Xenopus tropicalis: one gene and its partners. The protein of the gene in region 5 interacts with the protein of the main gene of each other region in a pairwise test. Links are inferred from orthologs where the notes say so. Each region holds a gene or a part of one and is shown on either strand. Other genes may lie near its edges.

Region 1 (4,259 bases), on a different chromosome or scaffold from region 5:
ACCGTCAATATCACAACTTCAACATGGAGAACGGGGGGCGGGGCAGAAACGTATGTACATATATATATATATTAGCTAACGAGGGGTTAAAAGTAAGTGTGCTTTAAAAGTAATGTGCAGGAAGGAACCAATGAGCCGGGGGGGGGGGCTGAGAATGGATCAGACTGGTACAGACACAGGGCAAAGGGGGCGGGATCTACGTGTGTTTGTGAGTGGGGGGCGGGGCACATGAAGACAGGGGCAAATAGATACACAAATATATAGATATATATAGAGCTGGAAAGACCACAATGGTACCGAGCGACCCAGCGGGTCCGATTAAAGCCCTATTTGTAACACAGCAAAATAGATTCCGACAACACTGTTGAACTATAAACAAGCGCCGACGTGAGTAACCCTGTAACGTAGAGGGGATGATTCTGATCTGGGGAGCCCCCAGGACCCCCCAAAAAGTAGTACTTGGCAGGTCTCGTCTCCACCTGCTGCGTCAGGTCAGGCAATTCATTGGGGGGGGGGGGGGGTGTGCGTGGAGTCAATGCTCACGTTACCATGGTAGCGCCGGCGGCTCGACCCCCCCGGGCGGAAGCGGAGGACGAGGTCCTTACAGAGCACCCGAGAGGCAGCAGAAGGGTTAATGCAGCGCAGCCCCCCACATTCCACTCACTGAGAGGGGGGGTTAACCCCTTGTCTGCCGGGGTGAGCGGAGGCAGCAAAAGTGGTTGAAACCGTAGCAAGTTTTTGTTCTCTCGCCCAAAAAAAAAAATAAAAATAAAATAAAGTTTCCGTCCGTCTCATACGCTAAGCGGAAGCATTCCCGGGGGGGACGGGGGCCGCGATCCCAGAACTCCTGGGGGGTCGTAACCGTTTACTGCCCTGAAATAGAAAGAAGAAGAATAAATGAACAGTTATTGGGGGGGGGGGGTACTGAAAGGAGCTACACAAGGATATTTTAGGGTTCACCCCCCTATTTCCCACAGTTGTACAGTAAGGATCCAGTCTCTATGGGGGGGATGTATATTCATACTAACAGAGCTCATACAGAAATAGTATATAAATGGCTGCTCCCTGGGGGGCCATTTATACTGCGCAGGGGGGGCACTACTAACAGGGTTATTGGGGGGGGGGACATGCTCTGTTAGGATGAACACACAGAGAGAGGGACCTAGCACCCCAAAGCACAATCAGTAAAGGCTCAATAGACCCCCCCCCCCATATCCCTCGTCCCAAGCAGAAACACCCAGCGGCCCCCCACTGTAACAAATCAGCCATAGGAATTGTACATGGCCTATGGGGGGGCAACAAGGGTGTTAGGCCTGTCCATGTAACTCCATTCTGAGCATTACATGGTTAATACAGAGCAGTCGCTATGCCCGGGGGGGGGCACGTATCATTGGAAGGAATGAGCCCCACAGCAAGCGTTCCCTTCAGATCCGCGCTGGCTTCTAAGGCTGAATCAGTCATTAAGTTCCCGGCAGAACCAGACACGGGTCCCTGTTGGATCAAGTCCTTACAGGCTGGGCGGGAACTTATTTATAGGCACCTCGGCGTTGCTTAAAGGGGAAGTTCACCTTTAAATTAACCTTTTATATGAGGTAGATATTCTGAGACAATTTGCAATTGGTCCTTTTTTATGGTTATTTAGCTTTTTGTTCAGCAGCTCTCCAATTGGTATTTTAGCAGGTATCTGGTTGCTAGGGGCTTATTTACCTTAGCAACCAGGCAGCGGTTTAAAGATGGACGTTGCCCCCTGCAGCCAGTCACTGGCAATAGTGGAAGAAAGTAACAACGTGGGCCCCCCCCCCCCAACTGTGTGTAATGAACCCCCAGTGTTTATTGACTCAGGTGTTGCCCAAACATACAGGGCAAGGGGCACAACATGGGCACTGCTTATTTACTAAGATTCTAAATCTCAGTAATAAAAGGGTAATTCCACCGAGCTCTGTGGGGCAGGGTGGCCATTTTAACAGGGATAAAATACCCCGGGGCAGTTATAAAGGTCTCTATGCAAAGCTACCCCGTGCTTTTACCTTACCCCCACCCAACACACAGCACAGTATTAACTACTCCTTTTGTGCTGAGGAGGTGAGAAGGCAGGGTCCAGTTCTGCAATGCAAAGCAGCTACTGATATCTAAACAGCAGCCGGGGGGGGGGCAGTTATTATGGGGGCCACTTAATGTCGCGCCAAGGCCGTGGCGGCTAAACAGCCAATTAATTTGGTACTGTTGTTTTAAAACAATCAGGCCCTAAATAGTGATAAGGCAATTTTGTTGGCAGGCGTGGATTTCCAGTTTGGAAATTCAGCGGCTATCTGGTTGCTAGGGTCCAATTTAACCTAGCAACCAGGCAGTGATTTAAAAGAGAGGGGAGGAGCCCAAATAAAAAAATAAGGAATAAAAAGTAACAAAAACAATAAAGCTGCAGCCTCACAGAGCAATAGACAATTTAAAAACCATACAAAATAAAAAAAATGAAGACCAATAGCAAAGTTGCTAAGAACAGGCCATTCTATAACATACTAGAAGTTAATCTAAAGGTGAACCGCCCCTTAAAGGGTTACTAGCACGTTGCCCAAGGCCAACTTAAACCAAACCGTCCAACTCTCCTTCCTACCCCATACAGACGGCAGAGAGCGCTGGTTACAGAGCTGCCCCCATGCGATTAGTCAAGAAATCTCAAGTTATGAAGGGTTAATTCTATCACCCAGAGACACCAGCATGCAGCTTATTGGCTACGGTTTCATTACCCATAAACAACGTGGGGAAAATGACCTTCTCCTGCCTAGTAAAGGGGAAGAAAACACAGATTATTTCAGCCTGCAGGGCTCTGGCCAATGGGCATGTACAATGGTTAAGCGTGGCCTTTATTGTTCTGGATACAGATTAATTGGGGGGTTCTAGGTTTGTACGGCGCTGCTGCTCATGTCGGAACCTACCCCTTGTCGAAGAATGACGTGTGCCCCGCGTGGGAGTATTTTACCCCGCTGCTGTTTAATGCGCTGCTGCCGCCACCGCTGCTGTTCAAGCCGACAGGTGCGTAGGATTTCCGAGACGCCTGGTCCTTGGCAAAGTTCCTACATGCCGCTAATTTAGATTCCAAGGCCTGGGGGGGGAAGAGAAAGCAAAAGTTACTTCCCAGTATGCAGCGTCCTGGGGGGAAGGGGGGGGGGTCTGAGTGGGGGGGGGGGGGCTAGGAGTTAAAGTGGTTGTTAAAGGGACAGACTTGTTCAGTGCTGGGAAACTGTGCTTATTGCTCCCAACTCCAATTGCAGGAACAGAGAACAGGGAGCCGGATTTACTCACATCAGCTGGGATTCTCATTGGGGGAAAGTTTTACAGGTCCTTTTCAAAAAATTAGCATATTGTGATAAAGTTCATTATTTTCTGTAATGTACTGATAAACATTAGACTTTCATATATTTTAGATTCATTACACACAACTGAAGTAGTTCAAGCCTTTTCTTGTTTTAATATTGATGATTGTGGCATACAGCTCATGAAAACCCAAAATTCCTATCTCAAAAAATTAGCATATTTCATCCGCCCAATAAAAGAAAAGTGTTTTTAATACAAAAAAAGTCAACCTTCAAATAATTATGTTCAGTTATGCACTCAATACTTGGTCGGGAATCCTTTTGCAGAAATGACTGCTTCAATGTGGCGTGGCATGGAGGCAATCAGCCTGTGGCACTGCTCAGGTGTTATGGAGGCCCAGGATGCTTCAATAGCGGCCTTAAGCTCATCCAGAGTGTTGGCTCTTGTGTCTCTCAACTTTCTCTTCACAATATCCCACAGATTCTCTATGGGGTTCAGGTCAGGAGAGTTGGCAGGCCAATTGAGCACAGTAATACCATGGTCAGTAAACCATTTACCAGTGGTTTTGGCACTGTGAGCAGGTGCCAGGTCATGCTGAAAAATGAAATCTTCATCTCCATAAAGCTTTTCAGCAGATGGAAGCATGAAGTGCTCCAAAATCTCCTGATAGCTAGCTGCATTGACCCTGCCCTTGATAAAACACAGTGGCCCAACACCAGCAGCTGACATGGCACCCCAGACCATCACTGACTGTGGGTACTTGACACTGGACTTCAGGCATTTTGGCATTTCCCTCTCCCCAGTCTTCCTCCAGACTCTGGCTCCTTGATTTCCGAATGACATACCTTGGACCACTGAGCAACAGTCCAGTGCTGCTTCTCTGTAGCCCAGGTCAGGCACTTCTGCCGCTGTTTCTGGTTCAAAAGTGGCTTGACCTGGGGAATGCA
Region 2 (5,285 bases), on a different chromosome or scaffold from region 5:
CATTGGCATGCAATATTCCATCTTAACTTAATGATTTGCCCTAGAAATCTAAGATGACAACTTACAAAGAAGGCACCAATTCTTAAAAGTGAAATTTTGGAAGCGCCTGAAAGAGAAATGATTACAAACAGCTCCAACAGAGTTATGGTCCCTTAAATGGTGCAATGAACAAACAGACATTTGGTGTGAGTTACTATTCCCAACTAATGAGAATGTTGCAACAAACTGTAAACATCCAGCCAGTAATTCTAGGCAGTGCCTTCATGAATGATTTTATTATGTGAAATTGGAACCAACACAAATTTCTCCTGAATGGTGATACCTACAGCTTGCGCAATTATGCCCATAAACATACGCTAAAGAGAGCACATATGTGTCAGTGTTCATGAGAATGACTGGAAAAGTTTTTTTTAACATCAGCATTCCAGCTAAAAGCAATTTCATGCTTGTGACTTTGTTTTCTGAAGATCTTGTCATTGATATAAATCTTTCTGGTACTGCCTGTGGTTGGGGGAATTCCCAGCTGTAAAGTAAATCAGGCCTAATACATTTTCCAGAACGTATGCTTTGTAAGTGAAGGGCAAGTAGGTAACAAATCTAAAAGAAACCTTCATTTTAAAAAAAAATCAGATGATTGTGGCTGGAATTCTGACACAAGCCTGTATAATTTTTTCTTACGGAATTAAAATGAACATTTTCAGCTTTGCCTCCATTTCATTGTTGAGAAGATTTGATGAATCGTGAAACCTTTAAACAATTACCACACTTATTCAAATCAGAACAGGTGTAGGCTGATAAGCAAAATGACAGTGCCTTTAGATGTTCTAAAACATTTTGCCTTTGTATTCAGCACTGGCCGCTCTCCTTAAAGTAATTTAATGCCTTTTTTGCTGTATATCTACTGTGTGAGTGGAGCCGGACTGTCCCTGCAGGCAGCTATTTCACACTAATCTTTTTCTTCGATTGCCTGAGTAGCAGACCGCAGGAACATCAGCCAATATACAGTGGTGTTGCAAAACAATGGTTCATACGCTGGCAATGAAGCACAACAAGATTTCTGACATACTAAATCCAGCACGGCCAGCAAAGACCCTGACATCCATTCTCATCTCTGCCGCAGACAAGTACAGGGGTATGTACGACATTCTGTGATTCAGTGAGACAAAGTCCCCCGTGTGTATTCCCTGATTACTTATTTGAAAATATGCTTGTTAGAGGTCAGCTTTGTTACTGCCACACCAAATTATCTCTAATGCTGTTGATTGATGGTTGATGAGCTGGTTTCCTTATTAGATGTCCCAGTGAGTTTAGTAAAGACCCTCAACATGATATACACAGATACAAACTCTAAATAATTAATTTCTCATGTTGCTGATTTATTCGTTAACATTTTCCAACTGCCTAGTGCTGCAATAAACATGTCTCATTTTATACTAGAAATACATGTAAGAACTGATGATATATATACTTTTGAGCAAGTAGGTTGATCAGTTTTACTTTGCAGTACAATGTGAGATGTCCTCTCAGGCTGATGAAAAATGCCTGTCCTATCATTTGGCATATCTATTTGGTTGGGAATGCTACAAACGTGTTCTATTATGAGCAACTGATATGCTACACTGGTGTACATACCAGAAGGGCAGGAGGTGTGTGTACATTCTAGGTAGGGGAGCAGGTGTAAGTTCTGCACCTAGGCCTGTGGTCACGTAGATACACAACAATATTCTAAGGTGCCTGCAAACAGCTGCTTGAATTAGTATTCTGTATTAATGGCAGCAATCAAAAGGCAATACGTGAAGACAGGACCACAGATTACCTAATGTTTTCTACATACTGAATGCATAACCCCTAGCTTTTGTGTTTGAATAGCTTGGGGATGTCCATAGGCCATCACAGATCTCTCATAAATATAGCACTGAAAACTGCAGACAGTACTGTATTCATGGAAAAGGTACAGAACTTTGCATCTTATACTGGAGCACAAAAGCCTGCAGGCTGCAACCCGCAGGTTAGTGTACCAGGCGCAAAAAGGTTTTGCCATAAGTGCTTTTATCTACAGAATTTATATTTAATATTGTCTTGTCTATAGAAAGCATAACTTAAATTCTAAATGTAACCCATTTCAGTAAAGTAGATTTAATTATTTAATATTTAAATAGATACATGGATTAATATACAGTTATGTAAAAATAGATGTAAAGTAGAAAGTAGTCTAATAATGATTTTTGTTGTAATAGTTGGTGGTACTACAATATATACCATATCTTACCCCTTGAATGCCTGGTGGGAAGACATACTGGATAATAATGGTCCCATATTTCTCATAACCAGGCAACAGCAGACCGGAGTCCTTGGATACCAACATTCTACCATTTTCTGGCTGGTTACCCACCAATTGCCCATAGAAACGGCCACACATTGGACATGCCTTCTTCACCTGCAGTGCCCGGGTAATACAATCCTCACAGAACGAGTGTTGGCACTTCTCCAGTGTCTTTATGTTCTGAATCTCACCCAGACAAATGGGACATTGGTTCTCTCGATCGTCCTCTGGGTCTTCCCTTCTATGATCTCGAGAGCTGCTATGACTGCTGCTAGCCCCCCCTCCTGCACACCCAGGAAGTCCTTTGCCACCAGTGCTCTGTGCCCCCCTGGAATATGTTCCTCGAAGGTGCAGCTCTGTTGCATGTTCACTATTCTTATCACCATAAGCCATACATCCAGTCAACTGGTGCTGTTTATATGATTTCTTCAACTCCTTCTCAGTCTCCTTAAGAAGGGATTTCAGTGCCTTTCTGGCTAAATAAAGCGCATTTGCTGGAACATGACTTTCAGGGGATAGTCGTAGAACATAGATTTCAGATGTTTCACCATCAATCAGTATCCTCACTCTGTTTTCTTCCCAAAGTCTTGTAAGTTTGGAAGGGGTCTCCTTGTTAAGAAAGTCCCATACGGTCTTATTAACTGTGACTTTATTCTTTATGTTTCCTCCACAGGCTGCCATTCTGGACAAGACAAAGGAAACTGAAAAAAGAGAGAGAATGTTAGAAGCAAATAAGAAAAAAATAACATATAAAAAAGAATGTGTCACTTACTGTACTGAGTAGTAGGAAAACAGCCTTTGGCATTCTCAAGGTGAGAAAATGCTGTCAAGTGCAGAAAGTCTTTGCACATTACTGAGCAGTATTACAAGATATACTCTTTATAATATAGATATTCATCTATATCTTATCGAGATGATGTAGCAATATATAGGTACAAACAGTATATAAGCATTTAGAAAAAAATGTGTAGCCATGTAAAGGCCTAATATATTTAATAACACATTAGTTCAATAGTAACATAAATCAAATGTATTTATTTCTAACACTTGGGTATCCAACCAATCCAAGGCTAGCAGGACTAGACAGCAAAGTCAGTATTGTGGCATCACTAATTTATTAGCTCTTTATAGAGCTGCGCCCAATCAGAAGGCTCGCGTTAGTCTGTAGACCCACAGGTTAACTACTAAAAAATCAACTGTTCTCTTTATTTATAGCCAAAACTATTATTTATTCCCATTATTATATGAGATGGTGTACCACCTGCAGAAAATTCTAAAGGATGGGGCAATTCACCTTGGAGTTACCTGACCTATATATCATGTACAGTATGTATTTTTCTTTTCAATTATTTTTATTTGCATTTTAACTTTTACAAAGCAGATATTAAATTAAAACAATTGTATAATGAACAGTAGATATCCTAATAAAAAAGGAAAGGAGGAAAGAGAAAAGAAGAAGTCGTTCTTATTTCAAGTGGGCAGTAGGGCCAAGCAAATGGAGAAACAAAGTGGACAATTATGAGGATAACTTGAAAGTTTATACCATACTGAAGTCAAAACTGTGTTAGACTTATGATCTGATATATAAGACGTTAATAATATTTCCATTAAACTTGTACGTTACTTGTTGGCTTTTATTTCAAAAGGTTGATCTAAAGTGAAAAGTAGATGAAATCCCTACATTCGGAAAAGAGTAGGTGTACCAGGGTCTCTGTATTTTCATGACTTCCTCATGCTTGTCTATATGTATGCTGGTCAGTTTATCATTGAACATAATCCAAATTAGTTTTTTCTTTGAAATGAAAAATGGGAATGTGGGTTTATTTCCAGAATTATGAAATTGTTATTTTGGCTGCCAAGAGAATAAAATTATCAATAACCTAGTGTAATTATTAACATTGGGTATCTTAATATTCAATAAAGCATTCTGTGCATCTTTCTTTAAGTTTATTTTTTTGTGTTATATTATAAATTCTAGACCAAAATCTTTTGGCATTTGAGCAGTCCCACCAGATATGCATCACAGAGCCGGTTTGGCTACAGCATCTAAATATGAAATATAAGGTTTCTAATAATGAAATGTTTCTTGAGCAACCATGGATTTCCATATTTGGGACCAGTTTTCTTCTGTAATGATGGTATTAAGATCTTTGTTCCATGCTATATGATAAAGGATCTTTTGAGTATGTATCAAGAGGCAATCAATAAAGGTTAGAGATTAAGAACCTCAAGTGTGGGTATACAGTGTATATATTTATTAACCTCCTTTCAAAGATTGCCCTGTGCCTTTCTAGGATCCCCAGGTATGTCAGTGTTACATGTACTGTGGCAAGCAGCATCCTTAATATAAGTAACATTTAAAGGGGAACTCTGACTTCCAAACCAAAATTTGTAAAAGAGCCCCACACAACACCAAACCCCTAATTTACATACCACTGTAATCTGTTCCTTCAAATATATACAATTTATAATAATAATATAAATACAATTTTTATATGTTGAAATCTATCTGAAAAACAGTTCTTCTCTTTGGCAGGGGAGAAGGGACTAAAAACTTGATGTTACAAATTGTAACACCTTCTCCACAGCTTACAGACAGCATGCAGTAACTACTTAACCCACAATGCATTGCACTCTGATGTTACTTTACTTATTGATGCTGAGGACAGTCAACTGCCATTATTGTTTTTATTTTTTGAGTCTTTTTTGAGTCAAGCAAGAGAACAGGGGGCCAGGCTTTGATAACTGTTTCAACGATATTATTACATTAAAACTCATGAAAGGCTTCTTTTTTAACTTGTTGTATATTGCACAGTTGCTTGAAATTATATTTACTTTTCAAAAAGCTTAAGTTGTGTTTGGGTGGAGTTCTCCTTTAAGCTACAGTACAAACAAGGATGCATGGAAGGATTAGCAAACACAGTATGACACACCAAGTACTTTGTTAAGTAAATTAAAAAAG
Region 3 (4,085 bases), on a different chromosome or scaffold from region 5:
TAAGAATTTTCGTGACATTTGCGATCATCAGAAATTATCGTATCTAATCCGAATTTTACCCATTTTGGGATTCTAACTCATACTTTGATGAATCAGCCCCAAGAGTATGAGTTCTGTAATATGTGGGGCACACATTTCCTTTCCCTTTATTCTAATATTTTGAAAAAGCCCCCAGTAGTCAATATTGTCAACATTCAAAACAAAACAAAAACTATATGTAATATAAACAATGAACTTTATGTTCTGTTGCTTTTCACATCTTATATGTGTCTGTCCCCCAGAAACATATTGATTCCTATGTATCGGACTGCTATGACAGCATTGCTATCTTCCTCTGCATTCACATTGTACTGAGATTCAAAGGAATCGCTCAGAGAAGAGACATCCCTGCTGTGGACAAGTAAGAAATTAATATTTTAAAGCATACAGAACAGGGACAACATATGAACAGAAAGAAGCTGGGAAAGGCAGTCACACAGATAATACTGCCTCTGTTTGTTGTTCCTCAGTCAATGCTTAGCTTGTAAACACCACTGCTGGCTAGAGGGCCATGATGCAATCTACAACACCTCAATAGTTTAGCTCAGTCTACAGACTACTTGACTTTTTTTAGAGATCCATATCTGTGTCCCTTGCATGTGTACAGAGAAATTTTAATTACAACCAACTACCCTGGAGTTAGTAACTCGACTGGGTAAGGGGTGGGGGTGAGGCCTAGTGGTTCTCTGACATGCTGCTAGCATTTAATATATGTTTGCCTGTTGGACAGGCATTGGATAATCTAAATTCTATTGGATTGTAATTAAGTTATAGTCATGGTGGCACAATTATGCTAAGAGATTCTAGCTCTTCTATACATAGAGATTATGTTTATGCTGATGCTGGATTATATTTCTGTGTATGTTAAGAAGACAGTCTTGATACTTTTTAATAGTGTATATATGTGCTATAATAGGACACTATTTTTATATATTGTCTTCATTAATATTCTGCAGATACTGGGATGCCCTTCTGGACATGCTGTGGCCCAGGTTTCAGCTTATCCTAGAATTAAACATTCAAAGTATTCGAAACACAGATCCACAAAGGCTGGGCACTGTTGATACAAGGCCGCACTATGTAAGCAGTAAACATCTGCCTATCTCAGGAAAAGTCTTGATAAATTTACTGGGTGTAGTAACACAAATACATCATACTATGCAGAAGTTTAGGGGTTGTCAGAAAATATTAGCAGAAAGTGGTGTAAAATCTGTTGTAGAAGCTGATGCAATACTGGGCTGATTACTAATCATTTTAATGCAGAATGCTGTAGTTTATGTGCTGCCATGTAAAGTGGTTCTAATGTATTACTGATCAGCCTTGTATCATCAAATTTGTGTTTTGTATATAGATACTGTATATAGTGGGTTGGTCCCTAATCTCAGCCGTGGTTGCCTTGGGCTGCTACGGAAGCCCAAAACATAAAAAGCATTAAAAGGATTCTATCATGATTTTTTTGGAATACTTTTTATTTATAAATGACACTGTTTACATAGCAGATAATTCATTCTACCATTCAAATTTTATTCTTGAACCAACAAATGTATTTTTTTAGCTGTAATGTTGGTGTGTAGGCAGCCATCTCAGTGAATTGTGCCTGAGTCTGAGCTTTCAGAAAGAGCCAGCGCTACATAGAACTGCTTTAAGATAACTTATTGTTTCTCCTACTCCCATGTAACTGGAGGAGTCCCAAGCCGGACTTGGATTTCTTACTATTGAGTGCTATTCTGATATCTACTGGGAGCTGCTATATTGTTTCCTTCCCATTGTTCTGCTGATCGGCGGCTGGGAGGGAAGTGAGATCACTCCAACTTGCAGCTAAGCAGTAAAGTGTGACTGAAGTTTATCAGAACACAGGTCATATGGCTGTGGCACCCTGGGAAATGAAGAATATGGCTAGCCCCATCTGAAATTTCAAAATAAAATATAAAAAAATGTATTTGCGTTTTTGAAAAACATGGATTTTAAAGTTCCACTCACGACCCAGATGAAAAAATTTACAGTCTGTGTCAATCTTACCCTTTACTGCCAGCTTGTAAACGTTATAATCTGTAGTAGTGAGTTAAAGAGCAAGTGGGAAGGTCAGTTTCACAGTCCATTAGAGGGTTGTCCATGTACTTGGTCACTTGCAAGCTTGACCTCTAAACCACTTTATACTGCACAGCTCACAGATAAACCCGCTGGTGCCACATTTTAGGTACAAAACCTAATTAATTACAGAGAATTATACAACATTACATATGTGTCTAAAAAATAAGCTATGAAAATTGTTTTTTTTTCCTTTTAGATAACCCGTCGTTATGCAGAGTTTTCCTCAGCCATCGTTAGCATAAACCAGACATTTCCAAATGAGAAGACAAATGCCCTGCTTGGACAGTTACAGGTACTAACCTTATATGAAGAGAATTTGGAGAAGGATTATAAAGTGTGATGTGGGATTCAGCCATCCTACACTTTTTTAAGATATAAAGTAAAACCCAGTAGGATTGTTTTACCTCTTATAAGGATTAATTATATCTTAGCTAGGATCAAGTACAAGGTACTGTTTTATTATTACTAAGAAAAAGGAAATCGTTTTTTAAAATGTTAAGTATTTTAGTAAAAAGGTCTACTGTAACTCAGAGCTTTCTGGATAACGGGTTTCCTCATAACAAATCCTATATCTGTACTAGTTATATTTTGGGTTATGTGAAAACGTCATATTTTTTGTACTCTATGAATAGGTAACATCAGTTAACTAAGAAGCTTCTTATGGGCAGTGACAAAGCTCCAGATTTTGAGTATGTGGGGGATATAGTGCTCTAAATGTGACTTGCTAGAGAAATATTAGATTCTACATGAAAAAGCCCTGGAGGTTGCCTATTGGTAGTTTTTCTTTTTGACTTTCTTTTAGGTAGAAGTGGAGAATTTTGTCCTTAGAATGGCAGCAGAGTTCTCATCAAGAAAAGAACAGCTAATTTTCTTAATAAACAACTATGATATGATGCTCAGTGTCCTTATGGTGAGTCCCACTAGTTTGCAACACATTAGATGTTTGTGGCATTTCACATAAGACAAGGTTTAACACTAGCAATGTGTTCATTTCCTATGAAATCTGACTCATCCAATTCAAGTTGGTTTCACATGTAATAAATTAATAACTATACACAGTGAACCTCACACTAGTCTGTAATGTCTATTGGGAGATATTAATCCGACATACAAACAAGCAGAGCTATAGTTCAGATCATTTACAGTTTTTTTCACTGCCATCTCTAGGAACGAGCATCTTCTGACAGCAAAGAAGTGGAAAGTTTTCAACAGCTGCTGACTGCTCGAACACAGGTTTGTAGCCCCTTTGTGTTTGTATTATTACCTTCTACACCATGTATTTCATATTGATTTTGTCCTTGTACTGTTTAAAATGCCAGGAGTTTATTGAAGAGATACTCGCTCCATCATTTGGAGGAATGATTGCATTTGTCAAGGAGTCAGAATCTCTAATTGAGAAGGGACAGCAGGAACGACTCAGAAGTGAAGAGGGTACAGGATGTTTGTATTTTAACAAGTCTTACTATTTGTTTTTATTGTCACTCACTGCATAAAGTAACGGTCTGAATTTCTTGTAGCACGTGTTGCTCAGCTTGTACGGGGGTTCTCATCAACATGGAAACAAGCAGTGGAGAATCTGAGTCAGGATGTTATGAGGTCATTTACCAACTTTAAGAATGGAACTAGCATTATACAAGTAAGGGAATTAGGAAGGGCTATTTAAGAGAGACCTTTATTTGGGTTCTTCCTTTTATTCTAACTCTCTCCATTTTTACAGGGTGCATTAACACAGCTGATCCAGTATTATCACCGCTTCCATAAGATACTCTCCCAGCCGCCACTCAGGAATCTGCCTGTATGCTCAGAATTAATAAACCTGCATCACCTAATGGTTGAGCTCAAAAAACATAAGCCTAATTTCTGAACCCAAGAAGGTAGAAGTAGGAAGTATCATAAAACTGATTCTGTTACCTGTGTATATAACACTAATCTGAGATGCATCAAGTGATGTAAAT
Region 4 (5,234 bases), on a different chromosome or scaffold from region 5:
GCATCTCATAAGGACTACTGTCGTGAAGGTCCTGGTAAGATTGTCCTGTTCCATCCATTGTGAAGCCTCCATTCACCAAAGGCACAAGATCTCCACCAGAACTGTAAATACCACCACTTGATCCAAGTTCAGACAATATCTGCTCATCTACAAATAATAAGGAAACAGCAAACATTTTTACACATTTTTCATAGATAAATTTCCTTCCTATGTAAAGTAAATACTACTGTACTGCATGGTAAAATACAAGACTATTACTCACGATGGGTTTTTATGACGATATAAAGGCACAAGACCACAGGTCAAGTATTTTTGCTGAGGTCAGGGAACTCTGTGGTGACTCCTAATATTCTCATATCCTCAAAGTTTCCAAGGGGTACATTATTTTTTTTAGTAAGTTTCAAGAAGTCATTTGACAAGTGGCATTCTTAAGCACCAATTAACCATGATATCACTAAGCTCTGTTATATATGTGTGATATATTTTACAGGTTATTAAATGCACATGTGTATTATACTCTAGTAAATTTATTAACTAACTGACCATGACCATCCAATTAAAGGGGTCATACTGCCACAAACTGGGCTGCAACATTGTTTCAGGAGTTTCTCGCACTGCAAAAAATAATTTTTGTATGGAGGATGCCACTTCCACAAATTCTAGGGAGGCACTGGACCTAAATGCGCCCCTTGGGATGCAGAGGTGACGTCACTTCCTGCTGAGGCTCACCAAGGACACCCAAACCCCCCCCCTCCAGCTCTGCCACCGGATTTCAATAGGTTTGATCTGGCGGTCTCGCTGGGGCGGGGTTTTATTCATTTATTTATTTATTTTTCTACTATATAGGCACCAGAGGGTCACCACCCTGAAGTTGCCGCACTAGGCCCAGGCTTTGGGTGCCTATATATATCAGCTTTGCATATTTGTACAAATTGTATGGTAATATGCTAAATGGTGTGCGAACTGGAGACACAGGTTATTGTACAAGTGTAATGAGAAACACTGTTTTTAAATTAGTCTGTTAAGTAATGCTGATGGACTGAGATATCAGCTGCCACTTTGAGAGGCCCACAATGTCTAAATACCGAAGCAGATTTCTCTATCTTGCCTCCAAATTAATATGTTCTAATGGGGGGACCCTACAATCGTTAAAATGATAGTGGTCACAAGTTGATAGTGAAAGTAAAAAGCGACAAAGGCAACAGTAAAAATAGAAAGTGCAATCAAAAACAACCACAAAGTAGAACATAAAAAAGGGGGGAGCTAAGACCTTGTGGGGCTTTCTTGAACAAAAGAAACCTGTAGGTAAGTGATGTCAGTTCCAGATAGGAATAAGGAGAGGAAACATATGCTACCCAATGTACCCAATGGTCTGTAAGTTGCAGTATTATTGTCCATGTTAAACAGTGTTAGTGGTTGATATATTCTACCATTTACCAGTAAGTGAATGTATGGGGCACAACTAAATATACATACAACCTAATACACTGGTTTTTATAGGAACACCATAGATCTATCTTTTTTTACAGGAATGGGATCATTTATCCGGAAACCCATTGTCCAGAAAGCTTCAAATTATGGGAAAGCCATCTCCCACAGAGTCAATTTTAAGCAACTACTGCTACATTTTAAAAATGAGTTCTGTTTTTATTTGTAATAAAACAGTACCTTGTACTTGACCCCAGCTAAGCAGCATGAATTGGAATCCTAACATAAAAATACCCCTGGGAGGTGCAATTAAAAAAGCTGTTGATGGCTTTGCCACTTTTACACCTTTAAGTTTTGCTTTCTGCTTGCTCATATATTATGGACAATATAAGGGACAGAATATTATAAGGATATTAAAAGTCACCAAGGGGGGTTCTGTGGCCATATAAAGGCACAAGGTGGCAGAGTTTCCATCTGTCAGAGCTAAGCACAGATATTGTACAGCATAAGCAACATAGGATGTTCCAAACCCCCCCAACACATTAGAGAGCCTTAATAAATAAATACAACTATCTGCGCAACTCTGGGCTAATTTATCAGGAATTCAGTGCTGCCAAAATTCAGTTAAGGGCCACCATAAAGCTTCTTTAGGGTCTGTACATTTCAAGTGACACTGGTGCTGTTCAGTGAATGCATGTTTTATGTTAAATTAAAGGCAAGGTCTCTGAATTATAAGATGCTAAATATTCACTACAATAAAGTCATAAAGCAGTTGATGGCCGAGCTAGAAACATGATTAACGCTCTTTCAGCATTCTTATATACCTGATAAATTGCCTGGTTCATGGCTGTGTTTGACAAATGGACTAGAGGGAATACTGTGTCTGTATTTACTGCAGCTGAAAAGCGGATGTTGTAGCTCCAATTGCCCGTAAGCTCTTTAGAGTTAACTCTCCCGCTGATAAATAGAGGCTTCATTATAATATCCAATCATTCATATGACAAACCCATTACTCAATGTAAAATCTAGGCTGTGAACTCAACCAAAAGCAAAGCAGGCGCCTGGGAGGAAGATATCCAGGGGCACAGAGAAGAATGATTGCCAGGGAAGAAGTGGGGGAATATGGGGATCTGGGCAGTGCTAGAGCCTTGGGGGACTTCAATGCCATAGGAAAAAACAATGTAACTAGCACCAGCTTCTGTATATTGCATTCAGCAGTTGAAGGCCCACAGACACAATATCCCCAAGGCATGTTTTGAGAATAGCAAGGTCATTATCAATTCTCATGGGACCCACTTACTACTGCTACTTAGTCCAGCACCTGCTGGAGCCTACTGGATGATGGACCTTGTCAACTAATTAGAACTGGGGTTCCCATAAAAAAGGCCAACAAAATTCCACACCTGGCCATGCTCCCAATCCATCCCAGCCCACCCCATTATGCCCAGAACATGCAGTGATCCTCCCAAACTACACCAACTCCCAAGCAAGCCCCACCTCCATTTGAATTTGTGAATTAGATATAATGTCTTACAGGATACCTGACTGGACTATCCCTAATGTTGTCTTGATGGTGCTCCTGAACAACTGTGTTTTGCACTTCTATTCCCATTTTTATATTCAGAGGGCTCCACTAATGCTATGGGTCCAGGCAGTGCTGTTGCAGTAATGAGTCAAGGTGAGAATGTACCTCAAGCGGTACTTTACCAGAGGAGGCAAAATACAAGCTACACAACTTGCACAGCATTATGTACTGTTTTAAGGCACCAATTAAAGTGTTCCAATCATCATCTTTTCTGTGGCTGCATTACCGCAATATAAGAAAGATAACTATAGACTATAGTATGACTTTCTCAGTAAATGTTTTACCTCTGTAGCTCAGTTCACTGTCACTCACACCACAGTCCTCCGTAGAGCTTTCTTTTCCTGACTTCCCCAGCCTTGATTTCCTCACACTTTTATAGAACTGACCCCAACGCTGCCGGCCTGCGTCCTTCTTAAGGCGTTTCTCCTTAGCTCGTCGGTTCTGAAACCAAACCTAAAATAAGTAATAAGATGAGATTGGAGGAAAATAAGAATGAGCTGTTATAGTCACCGGGATCAATTTAGCCATAGCAGCAGCTCTTGGTTGGTTGTACAGACACTGATCAAAGAATCCACTGGGCCTTTACACCTTCTTACTGGATAAATATTATATGTTCCCTATGCATTTTCTTCATGAAGTTATTTCTGTATTAGTTTTCTAATGTCTCCATGCTCCACTACCCCTATATCCAGATATAAAACTATCAATTGCTTGCAATGGCCTTAAACCAGGTAATGTACTTCAATATTAGTTTAGTATTTAAGTCCATTAACAGATATACAGTTTAGTTGTGTAACTAAAGATGCTTTAATTTCATTACTCAAAGAAATCCCACACTGCTCTCATTAAGCATTCACAGTAAGTTCTAAGCATTAAAATTCCCTCTTAGTGTCTGCCTGCAGTCCATGCATCCAATAAAATCATTCACTGCATGTATTCAATAGCTTTTCCTTCCTCTTCATAATGCTACTCAACATTCTAGCACACAACAAAAAAGGCTCCTCTTTTCTTCATCTTTTCGCACAAACAAAGCTGGGTGCCTCTCCACCTTTGCCCAGTTAGGGATTTATTACAATATGTCTAGAGATGTATAAAGCAGGTAAATATATTAATGAAATATCAATGTTAGAATTTGCTGCACTATGGCAAAGAATATCAAAGCCCCACAGTAAGTGCCATAAATGATTAAAGTCAAATCAAGAGCAAACAGATGATTTATTATTGTATTGCCTGATGGCTGAAGCTTACAGTGTTATTTAGAGAGCAAGGTGGGTGTGATCACTGAAGATAGAGGAAACTGGGTTATAGCAGAAAATATAATATAATAACCTCTGCTATAGATATTTGTAAAGTTTGACCCTGAGTAGAATATATCCTGCCTCAGCAGTCCATAATAATAGTCAGAAATTGAACCCAGATTCTTTGTTTATCTGTCACCAATGCTACCTTTGCCCAAGTTATACTGCTAACCTGATATCTTTTGCTCTTCCTCTGTGCTAGTCTCAGACATGTCACCCCCATTTATACCGACAATAGGGACAGAAAAAAAAATGTGGTCTGCTTGTAACTCGTCATGGTCTAGGTGTAACAGTGTGTGGGCACGATGAGGTGTGGACAAAAAACATCCATTTATATTCAGTTAACTTAAAGGTAAACCACCCTTTTAACTATAGAGAAAGCAGACCCTGCTGTCATGGGGGGTCCCGGTAAAAGGAAAGGGGGCCAGACTGTGAGGCCTCTATATCCACTCTATTGCTTGAAAATTTGCATTCCCATTCCCTTCCGAAGATTGTTTTTCAAGGAGACCTGGTGCTATGTTGTTACACCCCTGATTTGTTGGTTACAATGTTTCGGTGGCCCAACAGATATTTCCTGACACAATAAATTGTGACTGAATGAAAACACAACTAAGCAAACTTTGTCAAGAGTTATGATGGCTTAAACAAATGTTGAGGAATTTTGGTCTCCACAATATGAAGTTTAAGGGATGCAACTTTATACTGATGGACTTAAAACGTGCCTTGAGTAGCTGTTACACCAGTGTCGCACAACTGGGTTGGCATATGTGTAATGGAAATGACACAATTCACATTAACCATTAACCAATGGTGCATCAAGTTGTTGGGTAACAGAAGTTTCTAGCAATCAAACAACTACCATAGGGTTTCAGACTAGCTAGAAATAATTTATGTGTTAATGTGGCGATCACACACTGTGGCTT
Region 5 (5,285 bases):
AAGAGAAAGTAGAGAGTACTCAGTGCATGTGCATACTACATTAATTGATGTAAATCAGTGTTTAAGTCAAAGTGTTTCTGACTGCCTGGCTTGATTTTACAGTCGTCTTTTATATTTAAACTGAACACAAGCACTTTTGGTCTCTGCCTTATGACCTTGGTTTGTGCTACTGCCAATTGTATGGGGGAGGACAGGAATGGAATTTGTGGTTGATGTCTCCCTAGAGGAAGGAATACATCTGCATTTAATTAATCTGTAAACCACTGGGGATACTGGAAATTACAACAAAGTAGGCAAATTAGCAATTAATTGCCACAAAAACGCAGTGCTTGGGGCTTAGATTTAGCTTTCTGAACTTTAAACAGTCCAGCCAGGGTGAGATTTGCAGTAGATCCTACTATGTAGAACTCTATGTTTTCTTCTACTAAGATATCTGGATGCTCACTTCACAAGCCTAAATGTTGGATTTGTACAAGTTGGCTGCACATAAGTATTAGCAGATTCCACTGATAGAAACGTATCTACCTATGGAGATGGAACCCAGTTCAGTGGACACACATATTTTCTGGGTCCTATTTCAAAATAGGAAGCCACACTACAGGATAACTGACCAAATCTGCTGCAGGGGGGTGCACAAATACATGGTTGATCATACAGTTTTGTCAGAAAGTATAAATCTGCATTTCTTTTGCCAGCTTTAAAGTATATTAGCTCTCTGGCATTGAGGTTGCTTGAAACAAGCATATAAAATAATTAGCCTTTAGGCTTTAGTGAGATATATATTTGAAAAATCTTTTCTCGGTTTGACCTTGTCTACAAAAATCTCTGTCGTCTAGAGAACGTCCTTGGGAAATCAGCTTTACAAAACAGAGTTGAAACCTGGAGTCCTTCCAGACACAAGGTTTCATTACTGTCCTACCATAATAATTAAGTGAATCATTCTTCATTATGTAACTGTATTTACATGTTATTACAGTCTATAATCACATGTATTGTATGGCACTTCTTGTTGCTAAAACAAACATACCCATTTGTTTCACAACGTCAAAGGAGACCAAAACATTACAGCCCTCCTTTGCTCATACTCAGAAATTAGCATAGTTTGTTTTCTTCTAGTTTTATAATAAACTGTAACATTTAGATTAAAAGAAAGGAATTTTCACTTTCAATAGAACATGAACATTTTTGACAACAAGATGGTAGATTGTATGCCCCAGAGAAGACAGGATGGCCATATACCTGTATAGGCCCAGAGTGAGATATTGGGGGAAAAAAAGGTATAAACATATATTAGAAAAGTTTATCTCCTAATTCAATTCTAGATTTTCCCACAGGGCCAGATAGAATTCAATGAGAAAAATGTTTATCACATAAAAACTATGGGGAAAAACTGGACCTGACGTTTTTCACTTGGTAAACTATAAAATAACATTTTCTCATAAAATTGCAATACTGTCCAAGTTTCCATTATTTTAGCTCACATAGTCGAAACAACAATGGCTACAAAATTGCACACATGAGCAAACTTGTTAATGCTCTATAAATCTTATAAGGCTTACCCAACAATTTTACAACATTAAAAGGCTTACACAACATTAGCAATGGCTACTACTGAAGGTAAATGGTGGTGGTTAGTGTTCAGCTGTAACTGATGATCAGTAACTGATGATGTTGGCCTTCAAACATCAGCAGATAGAGCTATTTCTATGTTTTTTTCTTTAGGTTACATAAAGTGTTAACACACTACACAGGTACATAACTATGAGCAACTGAGTAGTCTTTACATTACAATTCCATGACAACATTACAAAGAATAATTGCTGTGCAACAGCATTCCTCTCTGTATAACTGTACTAATGAAAGTCTACCTGAAAAAGTATTTGTCTTGTGCTTTATCATGGCAAGAAATGGACAGATGGTGCCTCGATCATGCCAGATTGAATACCACCCTTTACATTCAAAAATCACTATAGTACTATGAATATTAACATTGTCATATTTACTGAAATGACCCTGATTTTAACCAGGGGAAATAGAAAAAGAGGCAAAGGAAGATTAAAATGTATATAATGAAGAAAACAAACAACATTTTTTTTTTCTTCTCTCAGTGACTCGGAGAAAGGCAAACATATGTGGAAGCGATATCTGGAGAGGGAGGACAGCAGAATTGTGGGTAAGTTGTACTGCTTTAGTGGGTTTTGATCTAAGGAAAAGTGTTGTAAAGAAAGATTTCATAAGATTTACATGATGTTAAAACTTACTATTACAATCCAAGTAACAAGAAAAAAAAATTGTGATTCATCTGACCTACAATCGCAAATGGCATCTTGCGCAAATTTGCTTACCGTCTTTGGCTGTGAATCTAGATTTGTGTATGATGTTTTTTTTATGTAAATGAGTGTGAAAGTACATTGTAGGGTTACGTTTGAGATATAATCATACGGTATAATTGGAACATTTGCTTAAGCAATTACTCCCATTTTTGAGGACTGGGGATTTTTAAAAGGGACCAGTCACCATAAGAAATTATTTCAAATCCTTTGAACTTAACTAACACTATTTACATTTTTCAAGTTTTTCCCTTTAATCTTGAAAAGTCAGGGGCCATTTTGTGAACACTGTTATTAAGGAAAGCTTTGTATCACTCCAAAATATTATGCATTTGCCATCTAGTTGATATCTAGGAAGTGCTGAATTGAAAGTTAAATTAATTGCAATCATAATTATATGCCTAAATGTATTTTTAAAAACATTAATAACAGGTAAAAAAAGAATTTGGGTTTTATGTTTCATTTTTAAAGGACTTCTATTATACAGCTTTATATATTAGGGTGACAGGTCATAGGGAGGTGGCACACGGGGTGATTAGTCGCCTGCGATAAATCTTCGCTACCATGGGCAACTAATCTCCCTGAAATGCCATCCCACCAGCAAGAATGTAAATCGCCAGAGGGAAGGCATACGCATTGCTTTGGTTTTCCGAAGTCATCTGAAGTTTCCTGTGACTTAGGAAAATCGAAGTGAAGCATATGCCATCCCACCAGCGACTAATCTTCCCATGTGTCACCTCCCTTATAAAAAACTGAAAAGTAGCAAAATGGCTTCAGTCCTCTAGACACTATCAAGGATAATCTTTTCCTGGATCTCTCATTAGAGCTAATTTCTACTTTTTAGGTGTAGTTGGATGATTTTTAATACAGGTATGGGATCCATTATCCGGAAATCCGTTATCCAGAAAGCTCAGAATTACAGGAAGACTCCACTGTAACTGAATAATTCACATTTTATAAAATCCTCACTGGAGGCAAAGTAACCCTGTTGGGTTTAATTCAGCGTTTTTCAACCACTGTTTAGTGTGCCGCGAGATGTTGCCTGGTGTGCCAAGGGCAGGGCACCAATGTACTAGGGGGGCACTGATGCTGGGCACCAATGTACTAGGGGGGCACTGCTCTTGGCACCAATGTACTAGGGGGGCACTGCTGCTGGGCACCAATGTACTAGGGGGGCACTGCTGCTGGGCACAGAGTTAAATTTTTTAACATTTTCTAATGGTGGTGTGCCTCGTGATTTTTTTCATGAAACAAGTGTGCCTTTGCCCAAAAAAGGTTGAAAAACGCTGGTTTAATTAATGTTAAAGTGATTTTTTAGCAGACACAGAGAAACACATTACAGAAAGATCCCTTATCCGGAAAACACCAAGTCCTGAGCATTCTGGATAATAGGTCCAATACCTGTACAAAATGTTGTCTTTTAGGAGCTACATACCCCACAGAAGATGCATTCTTGTCCTTACACCTATGCACATTAAAGGTAACATGCCAAAAGCATACTTTAGGGACCTTAATGATGGACATATACTGATTAAGAAATGTTGGTTATATTTTTAGGATAGCACCTTTTGTAGTAGCTTTGCAGATGAATGGTCTACCAATACATCCCTTTTGTAAAACAAATGATGGGGAGTGATGACAGCTCTTCTGTTTCCCATATGTCTTCTCTGTAACTAGCTAATCACTTCTTGTCTGTCAGCTTCTTATCTTTCTGAATTTGCTCTCCCAATTGCAGAACTGTTTGTTGGCCAGCTGAAGAGTTCCCTCACCTGCACAGAATGCGGATACTGTTCCACTGTATTTGACCCATTCTGGGACCTCTCACTTCCAATAGCTAAGGCAAGTTCCTCCCTCCAATGCCATTTTTATACACAAAAAAACTCTTTGTTTCCATGTAGGCAAGATTTTTATTTGCATTAAAACTTTGAGCAAAGTTTGTGACAAGCATTGCATTTGAATAGAGTTGTAAAGGTGTGGGAATTATCCTTTATTCCTACTTAACAATTGTGATAAATACTATAATGCGTATTGATGTAAAAAAAAGTGAAAAGATTGACTTTTTATAAGTTGTAGACTAATGAAGAGTCATATCTGGAAATGCCCCAAATCATCCCTGCCATCTGTCATTCAGTTTAATGGAAACTGACCATCATTGCTGGTACAGGTGGCTTCTGGCCTGTACTGGTCTTAGATCACACTAGAACTTGATCATTTTGATACTATCACCTGCCACTAATAGCATTTATGTAATTGATATTATTCAGATGTTTTACAAAGTTTGGCTCTAATCAAATTATTAATTACCTGCCTTTCCTAACACTGTATTAAAGTTTACACCCAATTTGTTGGCCATACCATTTTTATTAATATCTTCTTTATATGTATTTGATATTTACAACGTTAATCAATTCTGTCTCTAAGCACACAGTATCTTAGGCTTATAGAACAAACTATTGTGCATGTAAAAAAAAACAAAAGAGGCCCAGAGCCGAACATTTTTCTCCACAGCAGAACACCATTTGTATTTTAGATCTGAATTATTTATATAAATTGATTTTGTTCCCTTTCAACAGAAGAGTGCCTCTGAAGTATCCCTCGTAGATTGTATGCGTCTTTTTACTAAGGAAGATGTTTTAGATGGTGACGAAAAGCCAGTGAGTTTGCACTATGTTTCACTTTCTATTGAATAGCCAAGCTTTTGGTTATAACACACAGGCTCTTAAAGGAGAAGGAAAGGCTAATAAAGTGTTAATATCAAGCTGCAGGCATACCTTCAGTTCTCTCAATAGTGCCCTAAAGTCTCCCCATATTTCGCCTGTTCAGGTGATCAGAAGCCTCATAGGGAAAAATGCTGAGCTCTGTAAACAAAATTCCCATAATGCCATGCTCCTGCACCAAGACCAAGATCCCTGTAAAGGTGCAGTTTGTAAGACTATGAGAAAGCTTCCTGCTGTA

The links.
Region 1: the proteins of usp2 (region 5) and ndel1 interact in binary tests that used the Homo sapiens proteins (3 or more experiments, as listed by UniProt). The two-hybrid records come from large-scale screens. The link is inferred for Xenopus tropicalis from reciprocal best matches to the Homo sapiens genes USP2 and NDEL1.
Region 2: the proteins of usp2 (region 5) and dtx3 interact in binary tests that used the Homo sapiens proteins (3 or more experiments, as listed by UniProt). The link is inferred for Xenopus tropicalis from reciprocal best matches to the Homo sapiens genes USP2 and DTX3.
Region 3: the proteins of usp2 (region 5) and vps52 interact in binary tests that used the Homo sapiens proteins (3 or more experiments, as listed by UniProt). The two-hybrid records come from large-scale screens. The link is inferred for Xenopus tropicalis from reciprocal best matches to the Homo sapiens genes USP2 and VPS52.
Region 4: the proteins of usp2 (region 5) and lhx4 interact in binary tests that used the Homo sapiens proteins (3 or more experiments, as listed by UniProt). The two-hybrid records come from large-scale screens. The link is inferred for Xenopus tropicalis from reciprocal best matches to the Homo sapiens genes USP2 and LHX4.

What each region holds. Positions count from the first base shown.
Region 1 is NC_030686.2:49,762,208-49,766,466, forward strand, and holds part of ndel1 (nuclear distribution protein nudE-like 1), read right to left. Parts: intron 3,101-4,259; coding exon 2,934-3,100; intron 2,780-2,933; coding exon of another isoform or gene 2,745-2,779; intron 874-2,744; coding exon 792-873; 3' UTR 1-791. UniProt on the Homo sapiens protein: Required for organization of the cellular microtubule array and microtubule anchoring at the centrosome. May regulate microtubule organization at least in part by targeting the microtubule severing protein KATNA1 to the centrosome.
Region 2 is NC_030678.2:140,819,061-140,824,345, reverse strand, and holds part of dtx3 (probable E3 ubiquitin-protein ligase DTX3), read right to left. Parts: intron 3,025-5,285; coding exon 2,270-3,024; intron 1-2,269. UniProt on the Homo sapiens protein: Regulator of Notch signaling, a signaling pathway involved in cell-cell communications that regulates a broad spectrum of cell-fate determinations.
Region 3 is NC_030684.2:72,054,134-72,058,218, reverse strand, and holds part of vps52 (vacuolar protein sorting-associated protein 52 homolog), read left to right. Parts: intron 1-281; coding exon 282-400; intron 401-995; coding exon 996-1,119; intron 1,120-2,326; coding exon 2,327-2,422; intron 2,423-2,932; coding exon 2,933-3,040; intron 3,041-3,297; coding exon 3,298-3,363; intron 3,364-3,449; coding exon 3,450-3,561; intron 3,562-3,647; coding exon 3,648-3,766; intron 3,767-3,847; coding exon 3,848-3,994; 3' UTR 3,995-4,085. UniProt on the Homo sapiens protein: Acts as a component of the GARP complex that is involved in retrograde transport from early and late endosomes to the trans-Golgi network (TGN).
Region 4 is NC_030680.2:101,064,229-101,069,462, forward strand, and holds part of lhx4 (LIM/homeobox protein Lhx4), read right to left. Parts: intron 3,467-5,234; coding exon 3,298-3,466; intron 148-3,297; coding exon 1-147. UniProt on the Homo sapiens protein: May play a critical role in the development of respiratory control mechanisms and in the normal growth and maturation of the lung. Binds preferentially to methylated DNA.
Region 5 is NC_030683.2:80,119,465-80,124,749, forward strand, and holds part of usp2 (ubiquitin carboxyl-terminal hydrolase 2), read left to right. Parts: intron 1-2,108; coding exon 2,109-2,173; intron 2,174-4,065; coding exon 4,066-4,169; intron 4,170-4,903; coding exon 4,904-4,984; intron 4,985-5,285. UniProt on the Homo sapiens protein: Hydrolase that deubiquitinates polyubiquitinated target proteins such as MDM2, MDM4 and CCND1. Isoform 1 and isoform 4 possess both ubiquitin-specific peptidase and isopeptidase activities.